Linked DNA regions of Xenopus tropicalis. The protein of the gene in region 2 interacts with the protein of the main gene of each other region in a pairwise test. Links are inferred from orthologs where the notes say so. Each region holds a gene or a part of one and is shown on either strand. Other genes may lie near its edges.

What was found.
Region 1: the proteins of card9 (region 2) and usp15 interact in binary tests that used the Homo sapiens proteins (3 or more experiments, as listed by UniProt). The two-hybrid records come from large-scale screens. The link is inferred for Xenopus tropicalis from reciprocal best matches to the Homo sapiens genes CARD9 and USP15.

What each region holds. Positions count from the first base shown.
Region 1 is NC_030679.2:62,713,103-62,718,167, forward strand, and holds the end of usp15 (ubiquitin carboxyl-terminal hydrolase 15), read right to left. Parts: intron 3,678-5,065; coding exon 3,509-3,677; coding exon of another isoform or gene 3,492-3,508; exon of another isoform or gene 3,447-3,491; intron 2,956-3,446; coding exon 2,933-2,955; 3' UTR 1,554-2,932; downstream 1-1,553. UniProt on the Homo sapiens protein: Hydrolase that removes conjugated ubiquitin from target proteins and regulates various pathways such as the TGF-beta receptor signaling, NF-kappa-B and RNF41/NRDP1-PRKN pathways.
Region 2 is NC_030684.2:6,396,457-6,402,072, forward strand, and holds the end of card9 (caspase recruitment domain-containing protein 9), read right to left. Parts: intron 5,532-5,616; coding exon 5,346-5,531; intron 5,116-5,345; coding exon 5,083-5,115; intron 4,985-5,082; coding exon 4,942-4,984; intron 3,850-4,941; coding exon 3,791-3,849; intron 3,415-3,790; coding exon 3,350-3,414; intron 2,520-3,349; coding exon 2,444-2,519; 3' UTR 1,880-2,443; downstream 1-1,879. Other genes in the region: dnlz (DNL-type zinc finger protein), read right to left, coding at 1-89. UniProt on the Homo sapiens protein: Adapter protein that plays a key role in innate immune response against fungi by forming signaling complexes downstream of C-type lectin receptors.

The sequences.
Region 1 (5,065 bases), on a different chromosome or scaffold from region 2:
GAATTAAGGGCCGCCTCCTGGAAACAGGATTCACAGTGCACACAAACAAGCCAAGGCACACATACATGCTAGGCCCCATCAGCCAATTAATGGACAGAGTTCTGCTTTTTGCTTCCACACTTTTTCCTGTTACAGTTAGAGCTGCATTATTTCCTGTTAGGTGATCTCTGAGGGAACACACAGCCCATCACTAAATGGGGGTTCCAGAAAAGGATGTAAAAAGGCAATATTTACTGATATACATACAACAGTTTGGCGAGATTCTTTAAGAGGCCAATTATTATAGTATAAACAATCTGCTGGTTAAATATTTATTCTGGGGGTATAGTTTTCTTTTAACACCCCTGCAGTTGGACCAATAGTTGCATCCCCAATAATAAGTCACATAGAAATCAGATGGACATGTTATTCTAAGTCCTGTATCATATCTATGTTGTTCTTTGCATAAGGCTCTCACAACTTGTATGCAATCAAACATGAATAACTGATCTGGTTTTAAGTAAATCCTGCGGAATGGAAAAGGCTAATTAACATGTCTTACCTGACACCAGAAGGGGCAATGTCTGCCTATTACTGGAATTCTAAATTAATTGTAATTGCAATGGCATACAAGCATTTTAAATCAACATGGTCCTCAGCAATCCAAATAACAGCTGCTTCCCAATCATTTGAATGGACTATTGCAGACCCTGCAGCTGGTGGTCAACAAAAAAGTAAATCCTTGTTTCATTTTTTCCCAGTCACATGAACTGAAAGATTCTAAACTGCCCATGTGCTATAATATCCTCTGCATGTGTGACAACCACGGGTCTTGTCTTGTGTCACGTGGGGCAATACAATTGTAACTACCTGATATAAAGAAAAATTTTAAAATTTAAATGCTAATGAAACCAATGACTGGTTATGGATAAGCCACTGGAAAGACACAGACATGATAGCAGGAGGCTATAATTATAATGGAATGGTAATATAATTCACAAATAATGGGAAGGGTGAGTGATCAGCTCCTTTCCATGCAGTAGGCCAATAGCCCCCCTGCCCGCCCACCTCCTAATTGTTACATTTACTACATCCACCTCTTGCAATGAATATGAATGAAATGAATAAAAATGATTAAGCTTAGCCTTAATGCTTTCATTTCTGCATGTAAGAGCAGCTACATATTAGCAGGTGGTTGTGTAGAATGTATGCTTAACAGGGCCCTTGTCTGTAGTTTTGTATGTAACCTATACTTTCAGTGTATGCACCCTTCTATCGTACAGCACTGTGGAATATGTTGGAGCTTTATTATTGTGTTATTTTTAGTACTGTTGTTAGCCTTTATCCTCCATTACATACTGCATAGTTGCATTTGATTGTTATAAGAACATTGATCCACGTGCAGGAAACAACCATAAAGTGACTCACCTTATGTGGCTAAAATAGTTCTAGGTTTTTTCTCCCTATATGAGTGACATTATACTGCTTTCTTAAAAAAATGGTAGGTGTTACATTACCTGCTAAGAGTGTTATTTATCATTATAAGCACATTACACAAAAACAAAACAAAACAATTAAGCCTTCAACAACTTTATTGAAATTTATATAAATAATCATGCACAATTTAAATGTAAACGGAAGTGAACTTAAAGTGCAGACAAACCTGTTACCTCCATCATGCAGAAGGATAACCTTATACATAAAAAAACAAAAATCAAAGCAGCTTTAAAATACCAGGATATAAGACAGAGATGCCCAGCTTGTCCTCCTTTAGACACTGAACTATAGCTTGCACCATTCTGTAACAGGCTTTGGCTATCATGGGATACTGGGAGTCGTAGTTCTAAAGTGGCCGAGGGGGCAGGCTGGACATCTCAAATGTTAACACATTAGCTTTAATACAGAGCTAGAAAGCAACGCCATATCTCATTTCTCCTGGTCAAATGCATTTATTCATATTCTTAATGCCAATGTATAAATAAAATAATTTACCAAAATGTGCACTCACAGAGTGAACTTCTTATTTACAATACACAATTTAAAACCTATTGTATTTTTATTATATTAGTTCAAGTGAAGAACATCATATGTCTTTCTTTAAACAAAGGGACAGGAAAGAAACTCTTCAGGTAGTAGATATGTAAAGCATGTCCCAAAATGTCTAGAGTTCCTGTTATAGGCAGTATACAAAACAACAGTACATTCTTCAAACATGATCACAGGGTAAAGCAGCAAATGAACAAGTTGGTTTACAAAATGTTTAATGGTTCAGATTTTTTTTTTTGGCATCCTGGACCCTTGAATGCAGTTAGCCAACATAAAAGGAAAGGCTTGTATGCGATATACACAGTACAAGTTCTGATACTTGAACATGCAAATGCCAGTTGTCCTATGTCATAGCAATTTTTTCTTTGAGATGAATTGTAAGGCCATGGTGACTTATAAAGGGAGCACACACTGAAAGAAATTCCACAGACCTAACCTGGAGAAAAGTCTAACATTTTAAAGGGGAAAAATTGAAGTGAAATAAAAAGAACATAATTTGAGATAAATCCACAGTCATTGTCACTGACACAGAGTGCCATTTTATAAATGTTACATTTACAGTGTTGTCGGAGAGCGCTGTGCCAACCAACTCACTTATTCAAATTCATAAAATTTACAACACAAAATTGAAACGCATGACTTACAGAAGTTCATATGTATGCACCAATTTTAATTAGTATAACAGGAAGTCAACAAGGGATGAGGGACATTTACATTCAGTTGCAACTTGCTCTGACACAGCATCATGAAGGCCAAATTAAATATGCATCATTAAGTAGAATCACCAAGACAGTCAAACCTATATCACCAAAAGGCTAAAACACCTTTGCTATTTTCCTCAATATCATTTATACAGCTGTTTAGTAGTTTGCACTGATTCCAGAGATGTTTTAACATTAACCTTGGCTCAATGATCCAGCTTTTCTAGGTCTGCGAAAACAAAAAAAACAAAACTCGTCAAAAATGTCTTAAATGTCATTTGCCAAAGCAAATTTGCTTATTACCAGCCTGCTCTGTCAAGTTATAAAGCAACAGCCCACATTTTGCCATTCCTGCATAAGACTAAAATGCATTCCCTCCCAATAAAAGCAAGCCTATGGGCAATTATGGTTAAACTATGGGCCATTTAAGAGTATGGAATAACTAAATCAGTAAAAGCAAACTGATTAAAAGAGCAGCAGAAAAAATGAACTAGTTTGTGACTACTTATATACATTTTGATGGGAATAACAAGATAAACTAGCTAAAAATAGTTTGATCAGTTTCCATAGCACCATCCTTGTAGAGAACTTTGCAACAAAAAGTAAAAAATAAATAAGTAAAACATAAAAAAAAACAAAAAACCCAAATAATTATACAATCTAAAATACCACAATTTGAGGCAACCCCCCCCCCCCACCTATTTTTGGCAGGCATTTCACCTAAGTGTCATTTCTCAGTTGTACTTATGGCATCACAGGCCTCTGCTAGTTAGTGTGCATACAATTTTCATTCTCTATGTCGTTTTCATCTTCATTCGATTCTTCATCGCTCTCATGTGGGGCTCCCGTGGCAGCTGAAGCACCTTGCTTAACTTCTTTGTCAAGGGGAAAAAAACCTGTTCCAGTAATGGTATCTTGCCTTTGATAGAAGAGCACATATGCTGCCTTTGACTGTCATAAAGAAAAGAGACAACATGAACAGCTGCAAAAAGAGAGCTCAATAATAACAAATTTACATGGAGGGAGAATAAGGGAAGGGCAAGTGCCAAGGGCCCTTTGACAATTTTTAGGCTGTGAATACACAGAATTTATATTTTTGGGATCCAATTAATAAAAAGGAAATTATGGAACTGGAGAGGGTATAGACATGGACAATGAGATAAGAAGGTTTTAATTATGGGGATAAACTATATAAGTTGGGTTTATTTATATTGCAGAAGAATGCTCATTATGTATAAATCTTTAAAAGGCCCATACAATCTTTCAGAGAAAACCTGGTATCAGCAGTCAAAAACTACCACTATAAAAACTGCAAAGTGCTCAGAAGATCACTCTGAGTAAACAAGGGCAGCCCTACAAGTAGAATGGTAAATAGGATATATATGTTTTTTGTTAAATGGTTGGTTCACCTTTAACTTTTAGCATGTATTCTTAGCATCTCTTCAATGGGTCTTCATGTTTTTTTTTTATAGTTTTTTTTTTCAGGGGACACTGACTTGTGCAGTCAAAAAGCTATTACCCTGTGAGGCTAAAATTTTATTGTAAATATTGCACAAAAGCCAAAAAGGAAAAAGTCAAAAAAGGCTATTAAATTAAAATTTAAGCATGCAGACTTGGCCCTCAAGTGACCAAAAGAGGGAAAACCAAAGCAATAAAAAGACTTGAGTCCACAATAATCACAAAATATAGTATAATAATAATATAATATAATAAAGATGTTTAATTTTAACTTTTTTTGATTATTGCGGACTCAGGGGCCGATTCACTAAAGGTCGATAAAATGAGTGCTATTTATAGCATGCGTTAAAAATGTTATCACTTCTTATTTTTTTCGACTTAACGATCGATTCACTAAAAGGACAGTGTTAGTGTTATTTTCCGCCGCGTGCAATATTAGCACACAATATTATGCATGTAACCATTACTATCTGAAACTATTGTTCTGAAAATTACCATTTCCCTGAAAAATGGAGGAAGCATCACTCTAGGACGATCACATACTTGAAAAAATCTGACTGCAAACTCCATGTTGTGTTGCCAAAAGCTCACAAACTGCAATGTTGTTTAAGTACCGCCTGCCCCAAGTAGGTGTTAATATTCTCACAGATTAAAGCGATATTTTGTGAGTTTAGCGCTTCATATGTGTTTATGAATCATGCATTAGAATAATGCGATAGAAATAACGCTTTGCGATTGTGTGTTTTTTTGCGCATGCAATACGCGTCTTAACGCATGCGAAATCGGTACTTAATTATCTCGCACTTCTTAACGCAAAAAAGCATGAGATAAGCCCCTCAGTCTTTATATTGCTAAAATTTTATTGTTAACTTGTTATTCAT
Region 2 (5,616 bases):
GGGGCGGCTCCCAATACCCCCCGGGCGAGCAGCTGGCGACTGGCCCCTCTGCCCAACACTGACAGGAGCCCGCACCCCGGAAACAGCATGGCTGGAAAAAAATAATCCAACTGCGCGGTGCCGGAAGTGACCTCGCTATAAAGGCCGGAAACCCGATGTAGTACGGGCGGCCATATTGGATTTGGGCAGATAACAGTTACATCACTCAGTGCTGAATGGGGAGAAGTGGAGATGGAATTTGTGTGGGGCAGATTATCCCCAGTTTGTATACAGGGATTAAGGGCAATTAATGGGGGCTTCTCTCTACTCAGGGTTCCCCAGAACTCAGGGTGTGGGGCCCTAAGTGACTTGTAGGTACAATGGAAGTCCTATGGCACTGAGTGAGAATGGGGCAACAAACAGCCCTAGGGGCCATATTGCTGGGTAGGGACAGTGGAAGAGACCATTACAGAATAGGGCAATGGGTTTCCTCAGGACCCCCCCCCCCTCAGTTTATGAAATGGTAACAGCCATAGGAAAATAGCATTGTATGAAGCCCCCGGCCAGTGGGGGTAAGGTAAAATGGTGCCGGATAACAGATGCCGTGGGCAGTCCGGGCCCCTCCGGGGTTATGGGTTCTGCTGTACAGTATCCCCCCACTGATAGCTTGGCCAGCGAAACCATCTTCACCCCAAATCTCACTCTGATTGGCCCTCAGGCTGAGTTCCCCCCCCCTCAATAACTAAAGCCCCCTGGGGGCAGCATAGGCCTAGCCCTAGCCCAACCTGTGGGTCGGGACCCCTTTGGGGGTGGAATGACCCTTACACAGGAGTTGCCTAAGACCATTGGAAAACACACATTCCGGTGGTTTTAGGAATAATTTTATGGTTGGGGGTCACCGCAACATGAACTGGATTACAGGGTCGCGGAATTAGGAAGGTTGGGAACCCCTGGCCTGGCGGGTAATTCCCCAGCCTATTACCCCACCCCGCCTGCCCATTTCCCCCACCCCATATGTAAGACACACCCCCAAATGACATCACATACTGCATGAATGAATGGGTATTGGGGAGTTGTATCAGGAGTCAGAACCAGCAGTGCAGGGAAGGGAAAGGGACAGACACAGTGACAGTTACACATAACTATAAACCCAGTGAGAATGAGGAATGAATGGATATTGGGGAGTTGTATCAGGAGTCAGAACCAGCAGTGCAGGGAAGGGAAAGGGACAGACACAGTGACAGTTACACATAACTATAAACCCAGTGAGAATGAGGAATGAATGGGTATTGGGGAGTTGTATCAGGAGTCAGAACCAGCAGTGCAGGGAAGGGAAAGGGACAGACACAGTGACAGTTACACATAACTATAAACCCAGTGAGAATGAGGAATGAATGGATATTGGGGAGTTGTATCAGGAGTCAGAACCAGCAGTGCAGGGAAGGGAAAGGGACAGACACAGTGACAGTTACACATAACTATAAACCCAGTGAGAATGAGGGATGAATGGATATTGGGGAGTTGTATCAGGAGTCAGAACCAGCAGTGCAGGGAAGGGAAAGGGACAGACACAGTGACAGTTACACATAACTATAAACCCAGTGAGAATGAGGAATGAATGGATATTGGGGAGTTGTATCAGGAGTCAGAACCAGCAGTGCAGGGAAGGGAAAGGGACAGACACAGTGACAGTTACACATAACTATAAACCCAGTGAGAATGAGGGATGAATGGGTATTGGGGAGTTGTATCAGGAGTCAGAACCAGCAGTGCAGAGAAGGGAAAGAGACAGATACTAATCCAATAGCCGCCCCACCTGACCGTTACATACGAGACCTCCAGCTCCGGATCCCCTACAACTCCCAGCAGCCAAGAGTGAGATCACGTGACACATAAAGGGTAAGTAACACACAGCTTTGCGTATGGGTTTAATGCTTTAGCCACAGTACAGAATTGCTCTTTAGTATAAAAACACAGGACTTTACATAACATAGCTTTATATAACATAGTAGCTTCTCGTGGCACAGCTTATTCCTAATGGGTTGCCCGGGGGCATCGGCAATAGGTCCAATTCTACAGGGCCCCTAACTAAGGAAAATTCCCATCATCCCTTTCTTATTTCCACCATAGGCCTGTATAACCCTGTCTCCCTCTAGTTGCTGGGAGACTGGGCCCTGGGTGTCGGAATCTTTGTGTGGCCCTAGGGGGCCCCAGTCCAACACTTCTTGCCTGGAGGGGGCGGAGCTGCCTGTACCACTGTGGGTGGTTTGGAATGTAAACAAAAAACACTGTACTTGCAAGGGGGGCTTTCGTTGTCGTTAAGGCTGTGTTTCAGGGCCCCCCCCCACCGACAGCACGTGGGGGCGGGGCTTCACTTAAAGGCTCCAGTCTCCATGCTGCAGTCTCTCCGTCCAGGTCTTGCTCTTTTCTTCAAAGCCAAGACTAAAAAAATATAGCGTGGCCCCTAAGGGGTCCCCTCAGCGTCACTTTCTGTAGTGTAATATTCTTCGGAGTTCCTCCGCGTTTTCAGCACCCTTTTCCTTAAAGAAAGAAAGAAAAATGTCATTCTATGCAACTGAGAGAAGGGAGGGGTTTGTTTATACAGAGGCTTCTCGGGGGCGGGGGGGAAATAATGTTTAATAAAAGAAAGAAAATGTAATTCTTTGCAAAATTTCCAATGATAGGCTGCTGCTGAGGGAAGGGAGGGGTTTGTTTATACAGAGGCTTCTCGGGGAGGGAAATAAAGATTTAAGAAAGAAAGAAAATGTCATTCTATGCAACAGTTCCAATGACAGGCTGCTGCTGAGGGAAGGGAGGGGTTTGTTTATACAGAGGCTCCTCGGGGAGGGAAATAAAGATTTAAGAAAGAAAGAAAATGTCATTCTATGCAACCGTTCCAATGACAGGCTGCTGCTGAGGGAAGGGAGGGGTTTGTTTATACAGAGGCTCCTCGGGGAGGGAAATAAAGATTTAAGAAAGAAAGAAAATGTCATTCTATGCAACAGTTCCAATGATAGGCTGCTGCTGAGGGAAGGGAGGGGTTTGTTTATACAGAGGCTTCTCGGGGGGGGGAAATAATGTTTAAAGAAAGAAAGAAAATGTCATTCTATGCAACAGTTCCAATGACAGGCTGCTGCTGAGGGAAGGGAGGGACTCGTTTATACAGAGGCTTCTCCGGGGGGGAAATACTGTTTAAAGAAAGGAAGAAAATGTCATTCTAAACAACATTTCCAATGACAGGCTGCTGCTGAGGGAAGGGAGGGGTTTGTTTATACAGAGGCTTCTCAGTGCTCATACAGATATGAAACACATGGCAGGGGGAGGGGCATGCTGGGAAGTGGGTGGGACTGTAACCATAGTAACACGTTACCTTCGGATGTCTTCAAAACTGTTATTGACCTTCCTTCTAATGCCAAATCCATTTACCGGACTGCTCTGGAACACAGGGAATGCTGGATTAGATACTGATTGGCTGCCTTCTTTTCATTACATGCTGATTGGCTAGAGTGGTTCTGGATGATTACTGGAACACTAAACTGGCGGAGATGCTGATTGGCTGCCTTTATATTCAATGAGATGCTGTCAGCCCTAACAAAGTGCAACAGAAAGGCAGCCATACCATGTGACCATTCGTACTGAGCCCGCCCCCTGATCACTTGGATCTGTCTCAGCCAGTGTACGGCTGCCTTTAACCCAAATGTCTAACCATTGGCTGGATTACAAATGCCTGTCTGTCAAAGGATGCTGGGATTTGTAGTTCTGGAGAACATCAGGTTTAATATTCCCTAAAGAGTTATCAGTTGTTCCTTACATTCTGTGCTTGCGCTGCCTCTGCCACGTTCTTGGAATTGGGGTTATTCTTCTGTTCCTCTGTATGTGGGAGAGACTGCTGGTTACATACAGATATACACACGATAAGCTCCACCCCCATACTGTACTGTCTAAGGGAAACACTATGGCACCTCCTACCCATATGTATAAATACAAATATACAGAGAAGGAATGTTCTGGGCACACAATAAGCTGTACCCCCATACTGTACTGTCTAAGGGAAACACTATGGCACCCCATACCCATATGTATAAATACAGATATACAGAGAAGGAATGTTCTGGGCACACAATAAGCTGTACCCCCATACTGTACTGTCTAAGGGAAACACTATGGCACCCCCTACCCATATGTATAAATACAAATATACAGAGAAGGAATGTTCTGGGCACACAATAAGCTGTACCCTCATACTGTACTGTCTAAGGGAAACACTATGGCACCCCCTACCCATATGTATAAATACAAATATACAGAGAAGGAATGTTCTGGGCACACAATAAGCTGTACCCCCATACTGTACTGTCTAAGGGAAACACTATGGCACCCCCTACCCATATGTATAAATACAAATATACAGAGAAGGAATGTTCTGGGCACACAATAAGCTGTACCCCCATACTGTACTGTCTAAGGGAAACACTATGGCACCTCCCTCCCATATGTATAAATACAAATATACAGAGAAGGAATGTTCTGGGCACACAATAAGCTGTACCCCCATACTGTACTGTCTAAGGGAAACACTATGGCACCTCCTACCCATATGTGTAAATACAAATATACAGAGAAGGAATGTTCTGGGCACACAATAAGCTGTACCCCCATACTGTACTGTCTAAGGGAAACACTATGGCACCCCCTACCCATATGTATAAATACAAATATACAGAGAAGGAATGTTCTGGGCACACAATAAGCTGTACCCCCATACTGTACTGTCTAAGGGAAACACTATGGCACCCCCTACCCATATGTATAAATACAAATATACAGAGAAGGAATGTTCTGGGCACACAATAAGCTGTACCCCCATACTGTACTGTCTAAGGGAAACACTATGGCACCTCCTACCCATATGTATAAATACAAATATACAGACTGAGACATAATATAAATATAAATACTTACGCTGTGCAGTCTCTGGGTGCTTGTTATCTGGGGAATTGTGGCTCTTTATGGGAGAGAAGAAAACCACAGGTCATACTGACAAGCAAGTCACAAACGGGGGGGGGGGGGGGGGGGGTAATTGCACCCCTATAAAGTACTTACCTCCTGGGGTGAAAGCTCTTCAAAATCCGAGGTCTGAAAGAAAAAAAAAATGGGGTTTATTGCAATGTATGATGCCTAGCGGTGACTATCAGGGGCCCCAATATGATAAAAAGAATTATTAGGGGTGGGGCTTGTGGTGAATGGGTGGAGTTAACTGGATAATGGGTGGGGCTTTAGCATAATTAGGGCATGGCCTGGGTAGATAAGGGGTGAAGTTTGCAATAACCAGGAAGGGATGGGCCACTAGCCCCGTAGCCATTTACCAGCGCTGGAGACTTTAACTTATTCAGGTCGGTCTTCATGGCCAGAGTTTCCCGTTCCATCCTGAACAGCTGGATCTGCAGGTCGTCGCACTTCTCCCCCATCTCCCGCAACTGCCGCCTGTACGAATCCATGTTAATGAGGCTCTTGGAATATTGTGTGTGGAACTGTTCCCTGGTCGTCATGGCCTAGAACATAGACATCCTATTGGGTGTTTGCAGTCTGCATTACCCTTTACTAAGCACAGTTCAGCAGGAACAGCCCCCTAAGTTT